Saccharomyces cerevisiae S288C: one gene and its partners. The protein of the gene in region 3 binds, or shares a complex with, the protein of the main gene of each other region. Each region holds a gene or a part of one and is shown on either strand. Other genes may lie near its edges. A codon is read from its position in the direction of its gene.

Region 1 (5,685 bases), on a different chromosome or scaffold from region 3:
TTAATATTAATTCTATATTTCGCAATAATTCTACTGACAGTTATTTTCTTAACCTTTCTTCTCTTTTTTTATTTATTTATTTCTTTTTCTTTCGTACCTAAATTGTTTGAATTTAATAAGAACAGATCATATGCCTGCCAAAATACACATTTCTGCAGACGGTCAGTTTTGCGATAAAGATGGCAACGAGATCCAATTGCGTGGTGTCAATTTGGATCCGTCAGTTAAAATCCCTGCAAAGCCATTCCTATCCACCCACGCTCCCATAGAAAATGACACGTTTTTCGAGGATGCTGATAAAGTCAGTTTCATCAATCACCCCTTAGTTCTTGATGATATCGAACAGCATATCATCAGATTGAAATCACTGGGTTACAATACCATTCGTTTACCCTTCACCTGGGAATCTCTTGAACATGCTGGTCCAGGACAGTACGATTTTGACTATATGGATTATATCGTCGAGGTACTAACCAGGATTAACAGCGTACAACAAGGTATGTACATTTATTTGGACCCTCACCAAGACGTCTGGTCTAGGTTTAGCGGTGGATCTGGAGCACCGCTATGGACCTTATACTGTGCAGGGTTTCAACCTGCAAACTTCCTGGCCACCGATGCTGCAATCTTACATAATTATTATATTGACCCCAAAACGGGCAGGGAAGTTGGCAAAGATGAAGAGTCCTACCCTAAGATGGTTTGGCCTACAAACTACTTCAAACTGGCGTGTCAAACAATGTTTACGTTATTCTTTGGTGGGAAACAATATGCTCCTAAGTGCACAATTAATGGAGAAAACATACAGGATTACTTGCAAGGAAGGTTTAATGATGCAATCATGACACTGTGCGCAAGAATTAAAGAAAAGGCTCCTGAGTTGTTTGAGAGCAACTGCATTATTGGATTAGAGTCTATGAACGAGCCAAACTGTGGTTACATTGGTGAAACAAATCTCGATGTGATTCCGAAAGAGAGAAATTTGAAATTGGGCAAAACGCCAACGGCATTTCAAAGCTTTATGCTGGGTGAAGGTATTGAGTGCACAATAGATCAATATAAAAGGACATTTTTTGGATTTTCTAAGGGAAAACCGTGCACAATCAATCCCAAAGGCAAAAAAGCTTGGCTGAGTGCAGAGGAAAGAGATGCGATAGATGCGAAGTATAATTGGGAAAGGAACCCTGAATGGAAACCAGACACTTGCATTTGGAAACTCCATGGTGTTTGGGAGATTCAGAATGGTAAACGCCCTGTTTTACTCAAACCAAATTACTTTAGCCAACCTGATGCAACGGTATTTATAAACAATCATTTTGTTGACTATTACACTGGAATTTATAACAAGTTTAGGGAATTCGATCAAGAATTGTTTATTATAATCCAACCGCCGGTAATGAAGCCACCACCCAATTTACAAAATTCTAAAATATTGGACAATAGGACGATTTGTGCATGTCATTTTTATGATGGTATGACACTAATGTATAAGACATGGAATAAACGAATTGGCATAGACACCTATGGACTAGTAAACAAAAAATACTCAAATCCTGCCTTTGCTGTAGTGCTTGGCGAAAACAATATACGGAAATGCATTAGGAAGCAATTATCAGAAATGCAAAAGGACGCTAAATCCATGCTTGGAAAAAAAGTACCTGTATTCTTCACCGAAATTGGTATTCCATTTGACATGGACGACAAGAAAGCATATATTACAAATGACTATTCTTCACAGACCGCTGCATTGGATGCTCTTGGATTTGCATTAGAAGGAAGTAATCTTTCGTACACCTTATGGTGTTATTGCAGTATTAATTCACATATATGGGGTGACAATTGGAACAATGAAGATTTTTCGATTTGGTCCCCGGATGACAAACCACTCTATCACGATACCCGAGCAAAAACTCCTACTCCTGAGCCATCTCCAGCCTCTACTGTGGCTTCGGTATCCACTTCTACATCTAAATCGGGTTCTTCACAACCACCAAGTTTCATAAAACCAGATAATCATTTAGATTTGGATAGTCCCTCGTGCACTTTAAAGAGCGACTTGTCAGGGTTCAGAGCTCTTGATGCTATAATGAGACCATTCCCCATACAAATTCACGGAAGATTTGAGTTTGCTGAGTTTAACTTATGTAATAAATCCTACCTTTTGAAATTAGTTGGTAAAACGACACCTGAACAGATAACTGTCCCTACATATATTTTTATACCACGGCACCATTTTACACCAAGCCGGTTGTCAATTCGTTCATCATCAGGTCATTATACCTATAACACTGACTACCAGGTTCTTGAATGGTTTCACGAGCCTGGCCATCAGTTCATTGAAATTTGCGCAAAATCGAAGTCAAGGCCCAACACCCCTGGAAGTGACACTTCGAATGACTTACCAGCGGAATGCGTTATCAGCTAAACAAAAATTGAACCAAAAGCTATAGTAGTCATATATATATATATACACCCTTTTTATTGTTACAAAAAGATTTCACCATCAGAAATCTAAAGAAGCCGGTTCATCATCATCTTCACGTTCTCTTTTCACTGAACCCAGTTCATTTTTCAAAAGAGAACTCACATATGCTTGGAACTGATTGATAAAAGGTTGTAAAGCTGTTAATGAAACATCATTATTTTTCTCCATTTCTGTTTGAAGATCAATTAGCTTAGGTGCTTTTTCAGGTGCAAAGGATTCATCAATAGGCACACAGACATTCCCCGTAGCAGGATGAATACAAAAAGGGGCCTTTAACAAATGAATTGTTTGCTTTGTAACTTCCACATCCAGCTTCGGATAAAGAGTCATCAATACGAGATCTTCCTTACATTCACGTAACTTAATTATGTGAGAGTCTTGCTTGGGGCCTTTGAAGAGCGATGTAGCTATCTGATCTATATCATTCCACTTCTCTTTGCTTGACCTCCTTGGATTGTCCAGCCAATACTTCTTTAATGAATCAATCAATTGTTTATCATATAATGCAGGCAATAAAGTTTGGATAGCATGTTGGTCATCTTCCCAAGGATTTTGCTCTTCGAGCATAATGCTGACAAAGAAAGGTTTCAATTGCTCCAAAGAACGAGCAAGATGAGGGTGATAAGGCCTCTTCAAAGCCAATCGCTTGTCAGTATTTCTGTCTCTAATCACGTTGACATAATCTAAAACGTTTCTTCGTTGTACATCCGTCAAAGCCCGTGCCCGTTTGTCGCTTACCCAACAATGAGCACCACGTCTACCTGAAAATACCCAGATGAAGTCCTTATAACCAAAATCCTCTCTTAGGGCCGTGTTCGTAATTTTCATTGCCAAAGATATAAATTTCCAGCACTTAGAGCAAACTTGGGCTCCGGAGCAACACGTTCTGAAGGCATCGTAATCATCCATATCAATATCAAACACCAACTCCTTCTCTAAAGCTTTCAATTCGCTTTTTAATAGAGTATCACGTTCTCTTGGCGGTTTGTTATATATGGCACCGATTTCAAATCTGTCTGGGTTGGCTTTTTCTATTTGTGCTTTGAAATCTTGCACAGAGTTAAAAGAATTATACCTTTTGTAAGCACCTGACCTGAACGCCATAGCGAATTCTCTGTTAATCATATCCCTAGAAGGTTTGGGCGAATGATTCAGCCAGTTGAAAATGTGTTTGAATGGATAGAGCGACTTATAGTAGTACTCCATGTCTGAGGAGCTTGGCCCATTAGTCTTTACTGAATTGGTCATGATGTTTATAAAACAGTTTTTTGAGTTGCTAAAACTAATTTTTGCTAGTATTATGGCACGCTTTTCTCTTCAGCTTCAAAGTATTTTTGATTAATTTTTTATCTTTTTGGCGTTATGAAACTTTTCAACTGAAAGAAAACAATAGGTAAAAGTGGCAAAGGGCACTGACCGAGCAACTGTTTCGAAACTCACGCATCATTCACACGTAGGATATAGTAATGGTTGAACCAGCAAGGAAAAAGCAGAGGATTGATCGCGATACTCATCACACTGTGGCTGAACCAGTAACGGAAGCTAAAAATACGCTGTACGTGAGCCAGCTTAATGAAAAAATTAATATGCAACGACTGCGAGTAAACCTTTTTTTGCTCTTTGCTACGTTTGGAGAGGTACTGAAGGTTAGCATGAATTTCAAGAAACAGCGGGGCCAAGCCTTTATCACCATGAGAACCATCGACCAGGCCAGTCTGGCCCAGATTTCATTAAACGGCGAGCGATTCTTTGGTAAGCCTTTGAAAGTTGAGTTCAGCAAGAGTGAAACTAAAACACTATGACTGGCTTAACGCTCTATTCATAGCAGCACGTATATACCGAGAAGAGCTGCCATAGGGGCACATCAAAGTCAAGAGCGCAGAACCAAACCAAAATGTTTATATCCAAACAACCCGGCGTTATAGATGGTCGTCAACGGACAAATAATATCAAGGCATGTATCAATATGGAGTAGATATAGAATCTACAAAAATCTGTAGCAGAAAGAGTCTCCCGAAAAGACATACTGCAGAACGGCCGCTTATTCCTCACTTCAATTGCTTAAATAATACAAAGGGCAAACCACAGAGTACCCCATTGCCAAAAGACGTTTATTACATTTTGGAAGTGATAATTTAGTATATAAGACAGCTTACTATATGATGAATTACAGTGTAGTTCAGCGTTTATATGTGGCTTCGTTTAAAATGATATATATTTCTAGTAAAAGCAAAAATTCACAAATGATAAACAAATCAAAATAAACATCAAAAGAACCGCCAATTGATAAAAGCACAAAGTACCAGGCAGAGTTGTGAAACCGGGCCTCTTCTATTGTACCACACACAAATTTTTCTTTATTTAGGTAGAGGATGAGTCTGGAACCCACACAAACGGTCTCCGGTACGCCGCCGATGCTGCATCAAAGAACACACAAACAAGTATACCCATTGCGGATGGAAACTATCCCAATATTGGAATCCGACTCCAAGGCTACTCTACAAAGCAACGAGCCCACCCAGAAAGATGAGGAGGAGACCGAATATTTTGAGAATAAACAATCCGTGTCGAATTTGAGCCCCGATTTGAAATTCAAACGACACAAGAATAAACATATCCAGGGGTTCCCTACTCTGGGCGAAAGGCTGGATAACCTGCAAGATATAAAAAAGGCCAAGAGAGTGGAGAATTTCAATTCTTCTGCGCCAATTGCTGACGACAATCATAGTGGAGATGCGACTGCAAATGCGACTGCAAATGCGACTGCAAATGCGACTGCGAATGTTAATGCAAGTGCAATGCCCGCTCCATATATGCCTTATTACTATTACTACCATCCGATGAATGCACCAACTCCTGCAATGATACCATATCCTGGATCACCAATGCATTCGATTATGCCCAACTCCTCATTACAGCCCTTTTATTCGCAACCCACTGCTGCAGGCGGTCCCGATATGACTACTCCCCAAAATATATCTTCATCACAACAATTGCTGCCAGCTCCGCAATTGTTTCCGTACGGATCATTCCATCAACAACAACTTCAGCAACCACACTACATTCAACGAACAAGGGAAAGGAAAAAATCAATCGGAAGTCAGAGAGGTAGAAGATTGTCTATGTTAGCATCTCAAGCTAATGGGGGAAGCACTATTATATCTCCGCACAAGGATATTCCTGAAGAGGATTTTTACACC
Region 2 (8,513 bases), on a different chromosome or scaffold from region 3:
TGGGTATATATATACCAAAGGAATACAGGCGAGGGATCCTATAACTGAAACGAACTTGTCTAAATTATCAGACCCAAAGTAAGCAATTGATACAACAATGATTACGATTATAGAACGAATAAAGTTCTTCAGCCATTTAATTTTCCAGTTCAGCTTTCCTGAATTAGGACGTAATTCGACTCTTGTTGTTAGATCATCGTGCTTGACATATATTTTAGTGAACTTTGGAAAAAACTTATTTTCAATAATTTTAATAGCTGGAAACAACTGCAAAGGTGTGGACAACATAATTGCGATGGAATAGAACAGCTGGATTAAGTTTACAAAAATGTTACTTTGAGGTAAGTTCAACAGTATAACCGTTTGAACATTTGAGCCGTATGCCAAATATCCCAATGTAGCTATGGAAATGAAAAGTATGGTTGCCGTTAGAATCACCAAAGCAAGTACTAAAGGAAATTTTTCAGGATTTCTCATTGAGTCTTGAACAGGAATAATTAACCCGATTCCTTCGAAAGCAAATATTGCCGTCCCGATAAACAGCGTCCAACGGTCTGCATTTAAGCCATAGACGACACCCATTGCTGGGGTCCCCATCAGGTCAAAAAACAACCTTTTGGCTGTAAAAATAATGACAATGACTAAACCAGCCATGATGAAAAAATTTGCTAGTAAAGATGGTAGTGACAATTTCGAAATGTTTCTAATAAACGAAAGTGGAATAAAAATGATCGTTTGAAAGACCATCAGGTAAGATAAAGGTAGGACGCCCACATGGAATACGTTATCAAGAAAAGCTTGTAAATTTTTTGCAGTAAATATCATATAAGCTCCAGAGAATCCAACTTGAGTTATTACTAGGGAGAAAAGAATTATTATTCTCATCCAAGGTCCATACAGTTTTAAACCAATATCACCAAAGGAGGATACACCGCATGAAGATTTGGCCTGCACCAATATGTAGTAACACCAGTATGAATAAATTCCAAAAAAGGCCAGCATACTTACTGAGAAAAACAAACCACCATTATGAAAGGCATTAGGTAAAAATAAAACGCCAGTTCCAATGAAAGATTTAAGCAATATCAAAAAAACCTTCTTTGTCGAAGTCGTACCTTTGGCTGAAGGTAATACTTTCATATGGTCAGGCCGAGACAGCAATGCACTCCTTTCATCTTCTCCGCGTATCATCATGTTTGAGCTATCAGGGATAAAATCATCCTCGAAGGATTCACCAGCAAAATGTCCAAACACGTATAGAAATTCCAAAAAGTTTCTTGTTAAAAAGGGGACCTTATCGATATCTTGGTTAGAAGATGGAGATGACTGGTTAATCGAATCGCTTTCATGCGAAGTGAAGTCTGAGCTAGCGGAATCATTTAATTGATGTTCTTGCCTTTTTTTGTTGACAATAAATTCCCTTCTGAAGCCACCGGGGACATTTAAACCACTTGCTGATGACAATTTAGTATGGTGCTCAATTTTAGGTGTTACATTTTCCATGGACCGAGGGCGTCTGAGCCGTTTAGGATCCTCTGCTTTAACCAACTTGTAAATATCATGCGTTATGTCGCCTCCAGCGCTACTCAGGTTAGTCTCATCGTCATCACTATCAACATTTGCTGCAGCTATGGTACTTGCTGAAGAATTCTTAGTCGGATTAACCCTAGGGATTGCTTCATTTCCATGAGAGACGGAACTTCTTTTGCTACTGTTCAAGTAGTTAAGCCGTACACTGTTTATAATCTCATCTCTGTGGGGATCCTCCAGAGTCTGAAAATTGGGAGAAGACATATCCACAAATACTCTAGAATCAACGCTTCGACATATATCCCTCGGCGTTAAGGTAGACATAGAATACTTCCTACTATAAAATGGGTTTGAATTGAGAACTGTTGATTGAGCCCTTCTGGGAATTTTCATATTATTGGAAGGATGCCTTAAATTTCCGTTTCTTCGGATCCCAAGGTGCTCACCATCTCCATTGTTAGTGACCATTGATGATGTGTTCTAGGATATTGTTATGTTGATTCCAGATTATGAATGACGTTGAAATGTGTTTTAGAGGAGGAATGATGAGTGCCTTTGAACCTAAGGAATCAGATGGCTAAAAATGCTATGTCACCTCGAAAGCAAGAGCAGATCAAGGTAAATGATATCCAACTATATTGTGGGTATTGCTTTTATCAAACTGGCTTATGACAGTGCTTCACAAGATTTAAGCATTCTATTTCATTGATGAAGCTGTTCGCTTATCTGATCTTGCTGATAAGGCGAATCTTAATGCATGGGTTTATTAAAGGATGATGCATGTGAGAACTGATCACCAGAGCCGAAAAAACATTCTCAGAATATCGCTGAAAACCTTCAATAATAAAAGCTTCCTAGCGCTCCTTCCGATGTCTGTACATTAGGTATCTAGTAGGATGCGTATGTACAGTTGTATTCTTTTCTTACTATATAGAATATTCATGAGATCACACAACACATACAAAATACTTACCTAATTTAGCATGAAATCAAATATGCTAGTCATATCAACGTAGCGACGTCCACAATCGTTCAAATATTTTTGAACAACGCTCCGGCCGGTTTCCATTAGTTCTCTGTTTTGTTCTGTTAAAGCCTTAATAGATGATTCTGTCAGCTGTTCCTTGGGGTAGTCGAGATCATCGGGTAGATATATTGGCTTCAATTCTTGCTTTTTATTTTTTTCACAATCGAATAAAGAATCGAAATATAAAAGTTGATTGTACAATTGCTTGTCACTGTATTTGTATCTCATGACACCCGTGCAGCCGTCATTCAAACAACGCTTACCAAAAACGGAGACTTGTCTTGTAACTATACCGCATGTGCTGTCATCACACTGTAACCACCCTGCGTAATATAAGGAAATGTGTGCCCTTATAGAATGCTCTATTTGGCTAGTTAATTGAAGAGGAGTAAAAAGTTGCTCACAATGCTTGCACTGTAAACCATTATATGACACGCGATAGTAATTTGAAGATACAATACCACCAAATGGAAACCTTTTATCGCATGATGGGCAACTTAATTCTAATGTTACAGTATCCTTAAACCTTTCAACGTCTGTAATTGTTGTTTCTAAGGGTTGCAAATTATTAATATCTTCTCCATTGTTATTACCGCCCTCTCTTCTAAAATACTTTTTACTATCTAAACCAAGCGCTTCACTCAAACGCACCACGTTGAAGCTATCAATTCTTTCTAACAACCTTTCTACCGGCGCGAATATTTGTTTCTCGAGATAATATTGTGGATCAGGTATCAAATTGTTACTTTTAATCATTACCTCATTCAATGCATGGGCACGTTCAGCCACAGAAAGAGCCGGCGTATCCGCTGCATTGTCTATTTCATCCTGCTTTGTGATCACAAAAGTGATGACAGAGCCAGCTTTAACAACTCTACCAGCCTTACGCATTCTTAGAGCTACTTGGACTGCAGGCATGTTTTTACCACCTGGGTAGGCCTTGGGATCTTTTGAAAGCTTCATATTGATCTTATATTTATCAATTCTAATGTTATTGGTTTCCACTTTTATTCTGATGTCTTCTAAGTAATCATACACTTCTTGCAATGCTTCTTCTGGGTCCTTATCTGACAGGATGGTGTTTAAAACATGTATAGAAACGTCCCTCGAAAGTGGACAAAATTCACGACGCTTCATGTCCAACCCTTTAACTTCTAGAACAGTAGTTCCATTACCATTTTTGTCCAAATTTACAGTCAAAGCAGCGTACTTTTTCTTGGCATGTAATAGTAACTTCTTAAAAACATTATCAATATCAATCTCCAATAATCTATAGCGCTCATTTACTAGCCTTTTAAATCCCAAGCCAATTTTAATTGCATCCGCATAATTATCACAACCGGTATCTATCATGACCGAATCTGTATCACCATAAACTACAAGAAGATTCATACTTTCAGCTAGTTGTCTTGTATTCATTAAAATCTCACGACCCTTATTAGTGACTAACATGGCGAGCGGCTTTGCGTAAAATCTACTGTTAACATAACCCAAACAACCATACATAGAATTGGCAGTCAATTTTAGAGCTTGTTGACGAATATCACATTGAACTCGCTTATGGGGATCAGTTTCAGTTTTCATCACCTTCTTAACTTCACGTCGACGATCCACCAGATTAGCTAATAACCTTGGTAAAACACCCTGATCCACCTCTGAAGGAGGTACGCTTGGTAACTCATCGATATCTTCCTTATTTCTATCAACGGTGGTAAAACATATATTAAATTCCTGGATAATAGATGGATACAAAGAATTAAAGTCCATGACTAAAACGTAATTCTTATGAAGACCTTTCTCAGGTTCAAAAACTAAACCACCCTGATATTTTGCCTTTTTAGAATTAACTGGTGCATCAGCATTTTCTTCATTTTGTCTTTGTTTCTGAGCTCTACTTCTATTGCCTTCTTTGTCAGGAACAATAAAACCATTTCTTGAAAATTCATGTAGTAAGATATACTCATTTCTACCAGCTCTTGTACCGCCTAGCGTTTGGGCCCATGCATTACCAGCCAAATTTGTCAACTGTTTAGTCAAGGTTAATAATTGAATTCTATAAGACACCTCAGCAGAAATCATACAATTAGTAATATTCTCTTGTAGGGCCATTGTCATACTATTTACATCATTTTGGTATTGTGGATTTTGATAATCAATATCTAACGGCTTATGCTCCTTTTCACATGTAACTTGATACATCTCTGAAAGATCCCAACTTTGACATTTGGGTGTTAATGATTGACCCATTTCATTGGCGATATCACATATCAGCCTACCAGAGCAAATGTCACTAATAAAAAAATGGTTCATATTCGAATTTCCTCTACCGAATTTTTCAGGCCAAGTCCTTCTTAAACGACGGCCAATAGAGCTGAACGTTGGAATGTTGAGATCATGCATTCTATGAGCTAAAACATCTAAGTAGACATTTTGCAAACGATGGCCTATGATAACATCTGGGTCTTCCACTTTTAACATAGCACAAAAACAAGATAGCATGGCCTTTTCGTTGTTGAACAACCTGACTCTACCGGGTAGTTTCTGTTTTGCCAGTGCAGCTAAACCTAATGGGAAACTAGTTGACTGAGGCGGCCTTACTAAAGTACACAAGTCGTCTGGTTTTATATTTTCAGGTATCGGTGAATCCAACGAGATATTTCTATATGCTGATAACGTTATCGAAACAATCTCTTGCTTATTTTCCTTGGGATTCATTAACGTCTGAATCGATAAAGATAGACATCTCAGATTAGGCATTGTCTTTGTTGTAGTAGGCGTGATATTCTGAGGCTTATCTACCGAAACTTCAACCGCACAGTGAGAAGCATTACGAATTGAATTGAAATCTGCTCCCTTTATATCTAACCAGCATGGTCCCATAATCCTATTTTGAATAACAAAACTTTCAAAAATATTGGAATTCCCACCAAAAACATGATAAAAGGTATCGCTAGATAAATCCGATGGAATGGTGTCTCGACTGGACTTCGGTGTTTGGTATGGAAGTAAGACTTTCAAATAATCACTTTCAGATGGAATGTCAGGAAGCTCAAACGAATATTTCATTTTTTGAGGTTTAGCGCGGATATTATCCAGTCCATATTTATCCATCAGTAACGGAATTATTTCCTCGTGTATATCGGTAGGTGTTTTACCCTCTCTTGGAAGGAAAAATAGCTCTCTACAGAGACCGTTGATTTGAACCATGGCTGACACACAATTATCATCCTTTAGTTTAACCTTACCAAATAAAATCAAAGTGTTGTTCACTTCACAGTAATCCAACCAAAACATTTGGAAAGTATCAGTTTCCGGATCTACCACATCTTCCTTTTTGACATTAACCGCAAGTGTAGCAACATCGGTGTTGCTCTGCAAAGATTTACTTGGAGTTAGTCCTTTAATACCGATTGGCGTTCCGGGTGCTGTGACAAACGGTGAAGTTGAAGGGTTACTTCTTGAGTCTATATTCACGCGTCTAGTTGTTGTCACACTTCTCATAGTTCTTCTTTTCAGAATAATATCTTCATCACTATCTTCATCATCTTCTTCATCAGCCAAACTTTGAGCGGATGGTGGATTTGCTAGTAACGTATCTTGAAGTACATTCTGTCTCTTTGTGGCTACTACTGGGGAATTTTCCACATCATCCAATAAATCCTGTACATCATTTGCGTAGCGCAGTTTCCTGCTTTGTAATTTTAACGGTGATGATTCGATTTCTAAATATTTATCAGTACTTGAATCTGGATCAATCTTGACTTTTTTAGAAATACCGGCATCATGACTTGACTCATCGTTTCCGTTAACTCTCTTTATTGACGATTTAAATTCACTAGTCGGCGAAGAATTTAAATTTTCCCTTAATTTGGATGGCAGTAAAATATTGGGTTTTTCTACTTCACCAGATTCAAACTCACCAAGAATGTCATCAAAATTATCGATGGGGATACTTTTTTTTTGGGATTTTTTTGCATGTGCTAGCAGTGTTGATTTGGAATGTTGAGTTCGCAGCATATCTGTAATCTGGTGGTCTTTCTCCCTTTTTATATTCTTCTTCCTTTTAGAATCCTTGCTAGCAAGGTTTCCAGTGTCTTCATCACTTGAACTGTTATCAACTTCCCTCCAATCTTCTTCGACACCACGATCGACGTAGCCTACACCATCGTCATCTACAACAAAATCGTCATGCAGCAATTCCTGGCGCTTTCTGGCCCTGTATTCTTTTTCGTCGATTTCGTCGTATATTCTGTCACCATCTGATTCGTCACCTTCGTAATCATCGATGGATGTACCATTTCGAGCGGCTTGCAGCTTTCTCAATTTTTCTAATTTTTCACTTTTAGAAGACATTTTCCACTGTTTATTTTATGCCTTGATACTATTTGGTTTCTAATAGCAGAGTGAAGACAGTTTTTTTTCTCGTGAGTCTGAATTGGTATGTGTTCGTTGTCTAGACCAAGAAGATATATATCATCCAATGAGTAAAGAATTTAATTCAGTAAAATTGGATACACGCGACGCGTTTTACTTATAGGCTAACAAAAAAATTTTAACGCGTTTGAATAGATGTGTGATGAATGAAGAATAGAGATTGCAGGCAGTACAAGAAAAAAGTTATATTTCTTTAAGAAAAATGCACGTATATATATATATATATATAATTAAACTGTATAGTCTGTTATTTTATTCTTTCTGAACCTTCTCAAAAATTTGCTTCTTTAAGCTTTCAGCTTTTTTTATTCCTTCCGTTTCACCGCTACTCAGAACTAAATTCTTTAAAAGCTTGTTTTCCGTTTCTAACGTATGTATCCGTTTTTGTAAGGATGCTGCAATTTCGGTCAGTTCATGTATCGATGATTCTAACTCCTTTTCCTTTAGTTTTTTTTTTTGATGAGATTTTTTCGACTGTATCAATAAATCTTCATCGTCGTCCCCTAACTCTTTCTTGATCAGTTGCTTCTTTTCAAAGCCGTGTAAATCTGCATCGTCATATTCATCGTCTTCATTATCAGAATACTTGCGGTCGACGGGTACTTTTTTATTTTTCAAATCTCCGGAGTGTGATCTTTTTAAACTATTTTCCTTGTGATCAGAAGAACTTGCATTTAAAGTTGGCTCGGATCGTATCTTGGCAATTTCGTCTCCACGCGTCGTACTTGACTTAATAACAGCGTTATTATGATGGACATTATCGTTTCCATTGTTACCGTCACTCTCTCTTGATATTTTATGATCGTTTCGTGAAGGTTGTCGTTGATTGTGAATATTATTACTTTTTGGATGCTTTATGCCCAGTTCCAAAATGGAGCTTAGAAAAGAAGCCTCTGCTACTACACCGTGCTCATTGAACGAAGGCGACGTTGATAAGGTAGTTGGCGCAGCAGTTTCAGCCGGAGAGGGTGGTATTAAGACACTTAAAAGTTCGTTGATGTTTTTTAGAATGGGTGCCTCTTGACTGTCATTGGTGTTGATGTTTTTATTATTATTACTGTTATTTTCCCTAATCTTTTTTTGATGATGATACGCCATTATTGCGGCTATAGCATCTATTTGATCATTGTCAAATCCCGCGCTGATCAACGAGTTATATGCGCCGTTGGGCACGTTGACCCTCGGTAATAGAGTTACTAAAACAGAGGTTGGTATAATTGAATAGTCAGGAACAGTTATATTGGGGGCTTTGTTGGAGCTGTTATTATCGCTGTTACTATCGACTTTGCTTTCCGAATGTTTTCGTTGTTGTGAAGAGGAATTTTGAGCAGAAGTGACATTGCTTAGGGGGGAGGAGCGGTTCGGTGTGTGTGTTGTCCTATGTAGTAGATTTGATAGCGCATCCACTCCATTGTCACCGGTAGTATTGTTCTCAGTTGATGTAATGTCAACATTTGTGAAGCCGCCATGGTCGATTGATGTCATATTAGTTGCGTCAGCGGGAAACTGAGAAGGGCTTCCC
Region 3 (6,374 bases):
AGAGCAAAGAGTTAACGGATTATGTTATGTGCTTATGATAATTCATTTTTTGCTCTACTTGTTTGGGCCTCAGTATCGATATGGTTGATTTTTAAGTGGGGCAGTTCGCCAGCACCCTGAGTAGATGCTCCATTCGATAAAGCATCAATACTCTTCGGCTTAATTTCAGTAGCAATTTCGTGTTTATTATCAGATGGTTCTTGCTTGATGGGGGCAGGGCTAGATTTGGGGGTCAAAGATGCCTTGTTGCTGGGCTTTCTGGCATCAACAATGGATTCTATATCTTTGACGAAGAGCGGGTACAGATGATCTAGAATCTGTTCACGTTGAGCCAGGATATAAGCCCTTTCGAAAGGAATCCAAACACCCTTGAGGTGCATGGAGCCAATCTTCACGACTTCCCTAACCTTCTCGGATCTTAATATTCCATCCCTTCTCCCCCTTGTCATCTTCGTGACATTCAACAACTTGGTGCCGTTAATCATGTTGTTGTCAGCCCTACGCACGACTGATATACCGTTCGCCTCTACTTGGTAGCAGATAGTATTCTCATCTTCCCACATCGTAGTTATAACGCGTGGTTTGAGAACTGACGTTGAACTGACGCCAGGTGTTCTTGTTGTTGCTGTCACTGTTGGTGACGCTGCTGCTATTGATTTAAGGTTATTTGGACGTGCGACGCTAGTATCATTAGTGTTTTGAATGATTGGAGGCAACTCTGTGTGAGGATGTAAGGTGTTCAAGAATGATCCATCAAATTGAACCTCTGGAGGCATCACTGCCATCACAGGGAAAGAAGATGGTTGGAAATTGCTGTTGGGAATGGTGGCATAAGGAAGTACAGCTTGTTGATATGGAGATTGTGGTTGTTGTGGATATGTGGGAAAAGGCACAGCATAATAGCGACAATAATACCCTGATTTAGCCTGAGTTGGCGACGTAGCTAATTGGGCAACATTAGCATATGCGTTTGGAGTTTCGCGTTGGACGAATGGAAGATTGATTGTACTCTGGTGTGATAGCTCGTTAAACGAAGGAAGGGTATTGTCGTAACTTCTGGTGGGTGTTATTGCGGCGTTAGATTGAGTGTTCACCAGGGGGTAATGTAGCCTCATTTCAGGAACATGGTACATATTTTCTGCTTAATGAATTATGAATTCCAGCAAAGAAAAAGAAGTAATGGTCTTATTAAAGTATAATGTCAAGAAGAAGAAGTTGAAAAGAAGAGAACCACAAAGTTATAGGCTGGGAACTGAGGGGAGATATGTAAGGTGGTGAGAAACACACAATAGAACGAGAGCGACTGCTTGATTGATTTGATGTATTGTTCGAGCTGTAGAGTTCTTCCTATATGGAAACAAAAAAAAAAGGAAAAATGGGGAGGGGTTTTTAATGAGTATGGCCGCCTTCTTTTGCAAACGAAAGAGGGAAAAAAAAGTAGGGAACTGTACGAAAGGGAAATTAATTTTATATGCAGAGAGATGCATCCATATATATATAATTCTGGCTCTCCTTTCTGACATCCTCGCACTCGAAAACGTCATAATTACGTAACCCATTCTGAGCTTGATTTTGCCTACGCTACCTGGGCCACAGGCGTTTCCGTAACTTGAAACAGGAACAGTTAAGAAAACGTCGTATGTGCAAGAATTATGTTTCCACACTCTTACATAATGGCCTGTCAAGAATAATACCCGTTTGCATGAAAACTAAATATCGAAATAAAAAAACAAAAGAAGAAAATTGGTCTCGCAGAAAAAAGCCCGTAGACCGCAGCGTTGCATTCTTCCCTTTTACCTAATATGAAGTTATCGTTCATTCCGCAACATTCTAACTTATTCCCGTGAGGGGTGGGCGTGCGATTGGAATTAGTCTTTACAATTTGTAAGCTCTACAGCAACTTATGGGTGGGCACGCACTGTCCCTAATATTTATCATCGCATCGTGCAAATCCGTCTACGCAGTATCTAACTTCGAGTGGGCTGATTTTGCATGTAACGTTATTGTGGCTGCTTTTTTAGTCTTCGAAAGAGCCGACCGCGTTTATCCTAGACGAAGGGGTGCCGTTTTAGGTCCACGGAAAGATAAAGACGATATCCATCAATAATATCGCACGAAGTCTAATCAGGGAGCGGTGCAAAATAGTCTTCTATACTTTTTAGTCACAGAATACCTGCATAAGGAAATATTAGATCTTCCCGGTTTTTTACTTCCGCTCTTGAAAACCGGATCCTCGAGGTTGCATCACGGCATTACCAAATCGGTGAGATACTGTCCCTCCCATGCGTTTTAAAGGCCAGCCACGTATCCAGAAAACGCAGCACCTGCATTTTTTGGTGGCGGAGGCTATGCTGGAAAAGGTAGTTCTTCCACTGCAGTAACTTCTGCCACAGTAAATTGGCGTGGATAGGCCCTGCAACATATTGCAGGTTTAAACGGAAAGTGTCCCCGCTTGTAATGGAAGAAAACGGTAAATTTTAATGAAGTGTACAGGCATAAAAGACAGGCGGTTAGTTGTTCTGTGTTGCCTGTCACAGAGGAACAGCGCGATAGCTTGCAGCCACAAAATTATAAGGTTTCTCTGGCCAGCTATTAAAGTATGAAAAAATTCGGACAATATACATATCTCGGACGTTTTCGGAGCAGTGCAGTCACTGGTATTGTACAGCGTTTATCGTTTCTCTTTTTTTTTTTTTTTCTCACTAAAGAAAATTTTTGACCATACTTACAGTAGACTAAATTACGTATACTATTAATCCTTTTTAGTTATCTCTTCGCTTTTTTCCTTTTCCCTTTCTGCACTAATGATTACCATTATTGAATAGTTTTTCCTTTTCCAGCTTCTGCTGTTTCTTTTGCAGTTGCCTTGATCTTTCGAAGTATAGGTTAGGATGCGCGATATGCGTTTGCTCGCCAATTTCCAAATCCGCTGATGCAGAGTTGTGTGTCATTTCAAACACTTTAGTGCAAGCAATTGTGTATTCACCTTTCTGGCAGGAATCCAGAACACTGATGATCTGCGCTTGGGTCAACTTCATAGAGCGCAATTCTGCAGATAGTCTCTCGTGACTCCAATCACGGAAAGGGCATCCATGATAATCTCCGCGCCCAGGTCTGGGCTTGGAAAGGATAGTGTGACAGTCCCATGGTTTGTAGTTGATTCTGTTACCTTCAAGACCGTAATTATGCCTGAAGCTGTAACGGTATTCTTTATTGAACTTCTCCATTGTCATGTTCCCATTTCTTGTAAATGCCTCAGACCAAAATTTTAACGCTTCATCAGCGCTCAGGCCGATACCTTTCAAAAACAGACTCAGTTGTTGTCTCCCATAATACCTCAAATGATGGTTCTTTTTAAGACCCTCCATCAGGTTTTTGATACATAGCGGATAGTTTGAGCTAATCTCTTCAGACCAGACACTTTGCGCATTAATCTCATCATCTACGTTCTCACTGAATTGGTTTGCCTTTTGCTGGTTGAAATCCGCGATAGTGTACCCCGACGAAAGATGATTTAGAATTGGTAACAACCGGTCATCCTCATTCAGTCTTGGTAAGTACTGGTACGTTTTTATTAACTCCTGGTTCAATTTGCTAGCAAACTCATTAGAAAGTAAATTCAATTGCTGGAATTGTGGTAAATATGCGTACCCGTCCTTCAAAAACACTAAACGGTTTCCTACCAGTTCTATCACATTTTCGAAAGGTAATTTTATGAATTTTTCCTGTTGGAAATACTGTTTTCTTTGATGTTCCTCGTTTAAATTCAATTGGAACTGTAGAGACGCAGAAACTGTTTGATACAACTGATGAGATAATTCGGCCTTTTCTTCATTTGAGATAAACTGTAGTAAGGGTAAGTCCAATGATTGAACAAATTTTGTTTGATCGGTGGAGGTTAGCATGTTAAATCTAATTTTGAACAAAAACGTTTCAGCCCTGACGAATTTTTCCCGCAGTTCTTTTGAACGACAAAAGCACAATCTTAAAATGAAATGAGAGTAGTAATCCTTTTTTCTGTCTTCTAAACTCTCTGTGTTGAAAGGCAGTAGTTTTTGGAACTGCGGCTTGATAATGGTTTCAATTTCTTTGATCGATTTGTTTCTTGAAAGGCAAGATTCGATCTCTAACAGAATTTTGAGACGATCGATTGCCCAGATCTCAAATTGTTCCAACGTTATTTCTCCCTGTGGTGGTAAATCGTAAAATGATAATTTAGACTCATACAGCCTAGCGTAAAGTTTTTTCTCTTCTTCAGATGAACTTGAACTTAAGATGATCTGGTTAGCTGCATTTGTGTTGCCTACGTCCAATTCGCTTTTGACAATATCATCGTATGAACTAAAATTCTTCCTTGAGGCAATTCTTCTTTTTGACTGCCTGAACATTTCTTCTCCTTATTGTGCTTTACCTGCTGTCACTGGTTGCTCCACCTGGGTAGTTATCAGTCCTGTCAAAGTTGTGCAAATTGGAGAGATGTAGATAGTAAAAAATTTACTTTTGCAAAATCACAGGATTTAATATCGAGTTTTACGCGATTCCCCGCGACGCGTAATTTCAAATCAAGTTAACTATAAATGAGCAGGAAAAAGCAAATAGAGTGAGCAGCAGATATGTAAGGCAATATTGAAACAAGAAGAGACCTGTCGTATCACCTTTGGCCTGATAAAAACAGTGTTTCCATGTCTGTCTGTAGCAGCGGAAACAATCCTACGCCGTGCTTCTGGGCTCTTGATGATGTAAGATGTTCCGTTTCATGAACGCACTGGATCTCAGCTTATAACTGTTGGTTCAGAAAAATTCAATCATTTATTTAAAGAATGTACCGTACGATGAATATACGCTATAAATGCTTCCATATATGTATAAGTGTATCGTACTATATTCGTAGCGGTGTCCCGTCACCCGGTTTTGCACCCGTTCGAGGCGCGATTTAATTTCGTACATCCAGAAAGAAAACTGGCAGATGGAAATAAAGCTCGGATTTCATGATGATCATAGGTACTCTTTGTATAATGGGCTCATCTATTATATATTCACTGTTACTGTGTTGATACTCATATTTTATAAGCAGCTTAATAGGTGTGCGAACGGGAGGATTTTTGGTAAAAAGAGGCTTAAATTACAAGATACGAAAGGGTCAAAACGCTAGGGAAACCTTTCCAGGACATATAATAGTGGATACAACAAAATACACACCACTTTTTTTCTGAGCTTTCTTTCTTTTCAGTCTGTTTTAAAAACGAACACATAAAAATGCTAGTAAATAAAGTGATAGGGTTACTGGGTGTACTCTTCGCAACAAGATTTACAAATGCCGTCGAATTGGATCTAGACAACTACGAATCTTTGCAAAATGCTACTTCACTAATTGCCTACGGTTTAATGGATTATTACACTGGTAATCAGTATGGTAAGACGGTCGGTATGTTTTCAGATCCGTACTATTGGTGGGAAGCCGGTGGTGCCTGGGGCTGTATGCTAGATTACTGGTTTTTCATGGATAACGACACCTATAATGATGAAATTATAGCAGCAATGATACATCAAGCTGGTGATGATAATGACTATATTCCGCTAAATCAATCTACCACTGAAGGTAATGATGACCAAGCCTTTTGGGGTATTGCTGCTATGACTGCCGCGGAGAGAAACTTTACTAATCCTCCCGAGAATGAGCCTCAATGGCTATATTTAGCACAGGCTGTTTTCAATACCATGGCTTTGCGTTGGGATGCCGATTCCTGTGGTGGTGGTTTGAGGTGGCAAATTTTCGTTTGGAACTCTGGTTACGATTACAAGAACACCGTTTCTAACGGTGCCTTGTTTCACATAGCTGCAAGATTAGCAAGATATACAGGTAATCAAACATATGTTGACTGGGCCGAAAAAGTTTACGAGTGGATGGTCGGTGTGAACTTAATTTCTAATGGTACCTATAAGTATGTTTACGATGGTGTCAGCATTGATGATAATTGCACCAAAGTGACCTCATATCAATGGACATATAATCAAGGTTTGCTGTTGGCTGGCTCTGCCTACCTTTACAACTTTACGGGATCAGACCTCTGGCACACAAGAACCAAAGAGTTTTTGAACGCTTCCCAAGTGTTTTTCCATGATGGTATTGTGTATGAAGCTGCTTGTCAAGGTCCAAATTCTTGTAATACAGATCAACGTTCCTTCAAAGCCTATTTTGCCCGTTTCTTAGGTGTCACTGCACAACTAGTGCCAGAAACTAGGAACCAAATTATGTCTTGGTTGAATACATCTGCCATTGCGGCCGCGAAATCATGTTCTGGAGGTACTGATGGTCATACCTGTGGATTGAATTGGTTCAATGGGACTTGGGATGGTATGTATGGTCTAGGTGA

The links. The genes of interacting proteins can lie anywhere in the genome.
Region 1: the proteins of PRI2 (region 3) and PRI1 are in contact, whole or in part, in a cryo-EM structure (PDB 8FOC), measured with the Saccharomyces cerevisiae proteins. Residues at the interface, in NP_012879.1 of Saccharomyces cerevisiae: Gln194 (codon at 3,809), Gln197 (codon at 3,800), Thr198 (codon at 3,797), Ser200 (codon at 3,791), Ala201 (codon at 3,788), Phe205 (codon at 3,776), Pro228 (codon at 3,707), Phe229 (codon at 3,704), Glu230 (codon at 3,701), Ile233 (codon at 3,692), Val236 (codon at 3,683), Gly237 (codon at 3,680), Arg239 (codon at 3,674), Val241 (codon at 3,668), Phe242 (codon at 3,665), Leu243 (codon at 3,662), Lys244 (codon at 3,659), Asp245 (codon at 3,656), Gly246 (codon at 3,653), Tyr247 (codon at 3,650); in NP_012273.1 of Saccharomyces cerevisiae: Arg149 (codon at 3,289), Glu150 (codon at 3,286), Asp151 (codon at 3,283), Phe152 (codon at 3,280), Gly153 (codon at 3,277), Tyr154 (codon at 3,274), Arg175 (codon at 3,211), Leu179 (codon at 3,199), Gln183 (codon at 3,187), Asn186 (codon at 3,178), Val187 (codon at 3,175), Tyr190 (codon at 3,166), Arg195 (codon at 3,151), Lys206 (codon at 3,118), Pro208 (codon at 3,112), Tyr209 (codon at 3,109), His210 (codon at 3,106), Pro211 (codon at 3,103), Ala214 (codon at 3,094).
Region 2: the proteins of PRI2 (region 3) and POL1 are in contact, whole or in part, in a cryo-EM structure (PDB 8FOD), measured with the Saccharomyces cerevisiae proteins. Residues at the interface, in NP_012879.1 of Saccharomyces cerevisiae: Thr71 (codon at 4,178), Leu72 (codon at 4,175), Glu73 (codon at 4,172), Arg140 (codon at 3,971), Ser141 (codon at 3,968), Lys142 (codon at 3,965), Glu143 (codon at 3,962), Ile272 (codon at 3,575), Tyr275 (codon at 3,566), Gln276 (codon at 3,563), Arg280 (codon at 3,551), Asp285 (codon at 3,536), Arg286 (codon at 3,533), His349 (codon at 3,344), Arg351 (codon at 3,338), Tyr352 (codon at 3,335), Tyr353 (codon at 3,332), Arg355 (codon at 3,326), Glu389 (codon at 3,224), Lys390 (codon at 3,221), Lys393 (codon at 3,212), Glu394 (codon at 3,209), Tyr395 (codon at 3,206), Arg409 (codon at 3,164), Lys413 (codon at 3,152), Ser422 (codon at 3,125), Pro424 (codon at 3,119), Arg425 (codon at 3,116), Pro426 (codon at 3,113), Gly427 (codon at 3,110); in NP_014297.3 of Saccharomyces cerevisiae: Glu852 (codon at 4,357), Lys853 (codon at 4,354), Gly854 (codon at 4,351), Leu855 (codon at 4,348), His856 (codon at 4,345), Lys857 (codon at 4,342), Asn858 (codon at 4,339), Asp891 (codon at 4,240), Leu893 (codon at 4,234), Lys964 (codon at 4,021), Met968 (codon at 4,009), Asn972 (codon at 3,997), Arg975 (codon at 3,988), Met979 (codon at 3,976), Gln983 (codon at 3,964), Glu986 (codon at 3,955), Ser987 (codon at 3,952), Asn989 (codon at 3,946), Leu991 (codon at 3,940), Asp1003 (codon at 3,904), Pro1099 (codon at 3,616), Glu1100 (codon at 3,613), Leu1103 (codon at 3,604), Gln1104 (codon at 3,601), Tyr1107 (codon at 3,592), Glu1111 (codon at 3,580), Glu1227 (codon at 3,232), Glu1275 (codon at 3,088), Lys1365 (codon at 2,818), Asp1382 (codon at 2,767).

What each region holds. Positions count from the first base shown.
Region 1 is NC_001141.2:370,574-376,258, forward strand, and holds PRI1 (DNA primase subunit PRI1), read right to left. Parts: upstream 3,734-5,685; coding exon 2,504-3,733; downstream 1-2,503. Other genes in the region: EGH1 (hydrolase), read left to right, coding at 131-2,425; U2 snRNP complex subunit MSL1, read left to right, coding at 3,952-4,287; MIND complex subunit DSN1, read left to right, coding at 4,858-5,685. UniProt on the Saccharomyces cerevisiae protein: DNA primase is the polymerase that synthesizes small RNA primers for the Okazaki fragments made during discontinuous DNA replication. In a complex with DNA polymerase alpha (DNA polymerase alpha:primase) constitutes a replicative polymerase.
Region 2 is NC_001146.8:428,484-436,996, reverse strand, and holds POL1 (DNA-directed DNA polymerase alpha catalytic subunit POL1), read right to left. Parts: upstream 6,911-8,513; coding exon 2,504-6,910; downstream 1-2,503. Other genes in the region: AVT4 (Avt4p), read right to left, coding at 1-1,998; MET4 (Met4p), read right to left, coding at 7,244-8,513. UniProt on the Saccharomyces cerevisiae protein: Catalytic component of DNA polymerase alpha, which in complex with DNA primase (DNA polymerase alpha:primase) constitutes a replicative polymerase. POL1 has a role in promoting telomere replication during interaction with CDC13.
Region 3 is NC_001143.9:351,507-357,880, reverse strand, and holds PRI2 (DNA primase subunit PRI2), read right to left. Parts: upstream 4,389-6,374; coding exon 2,802-4,388; downstream 1-2,801. Other genes in the region: PHD1 (Phd1p), read right to left, coding at 33-1,133; MMO1 (Mmo1p), read right to left, coding at 1,239-1,559; DCW1 (putative mannan endo-1,6-alpha-mannosidase), read left to right, coding at 5,257-6,374. UniProt on the Saccharomyces cerevisiae protein: DNA primase is the polymerase that synthesizes small RNA primers for the Okazaki fragments made during discontinuous DNA replication. In a complex with DNA polymerase alpha (DNA polymerase alpha:primase) constitutes a replicative polymerase.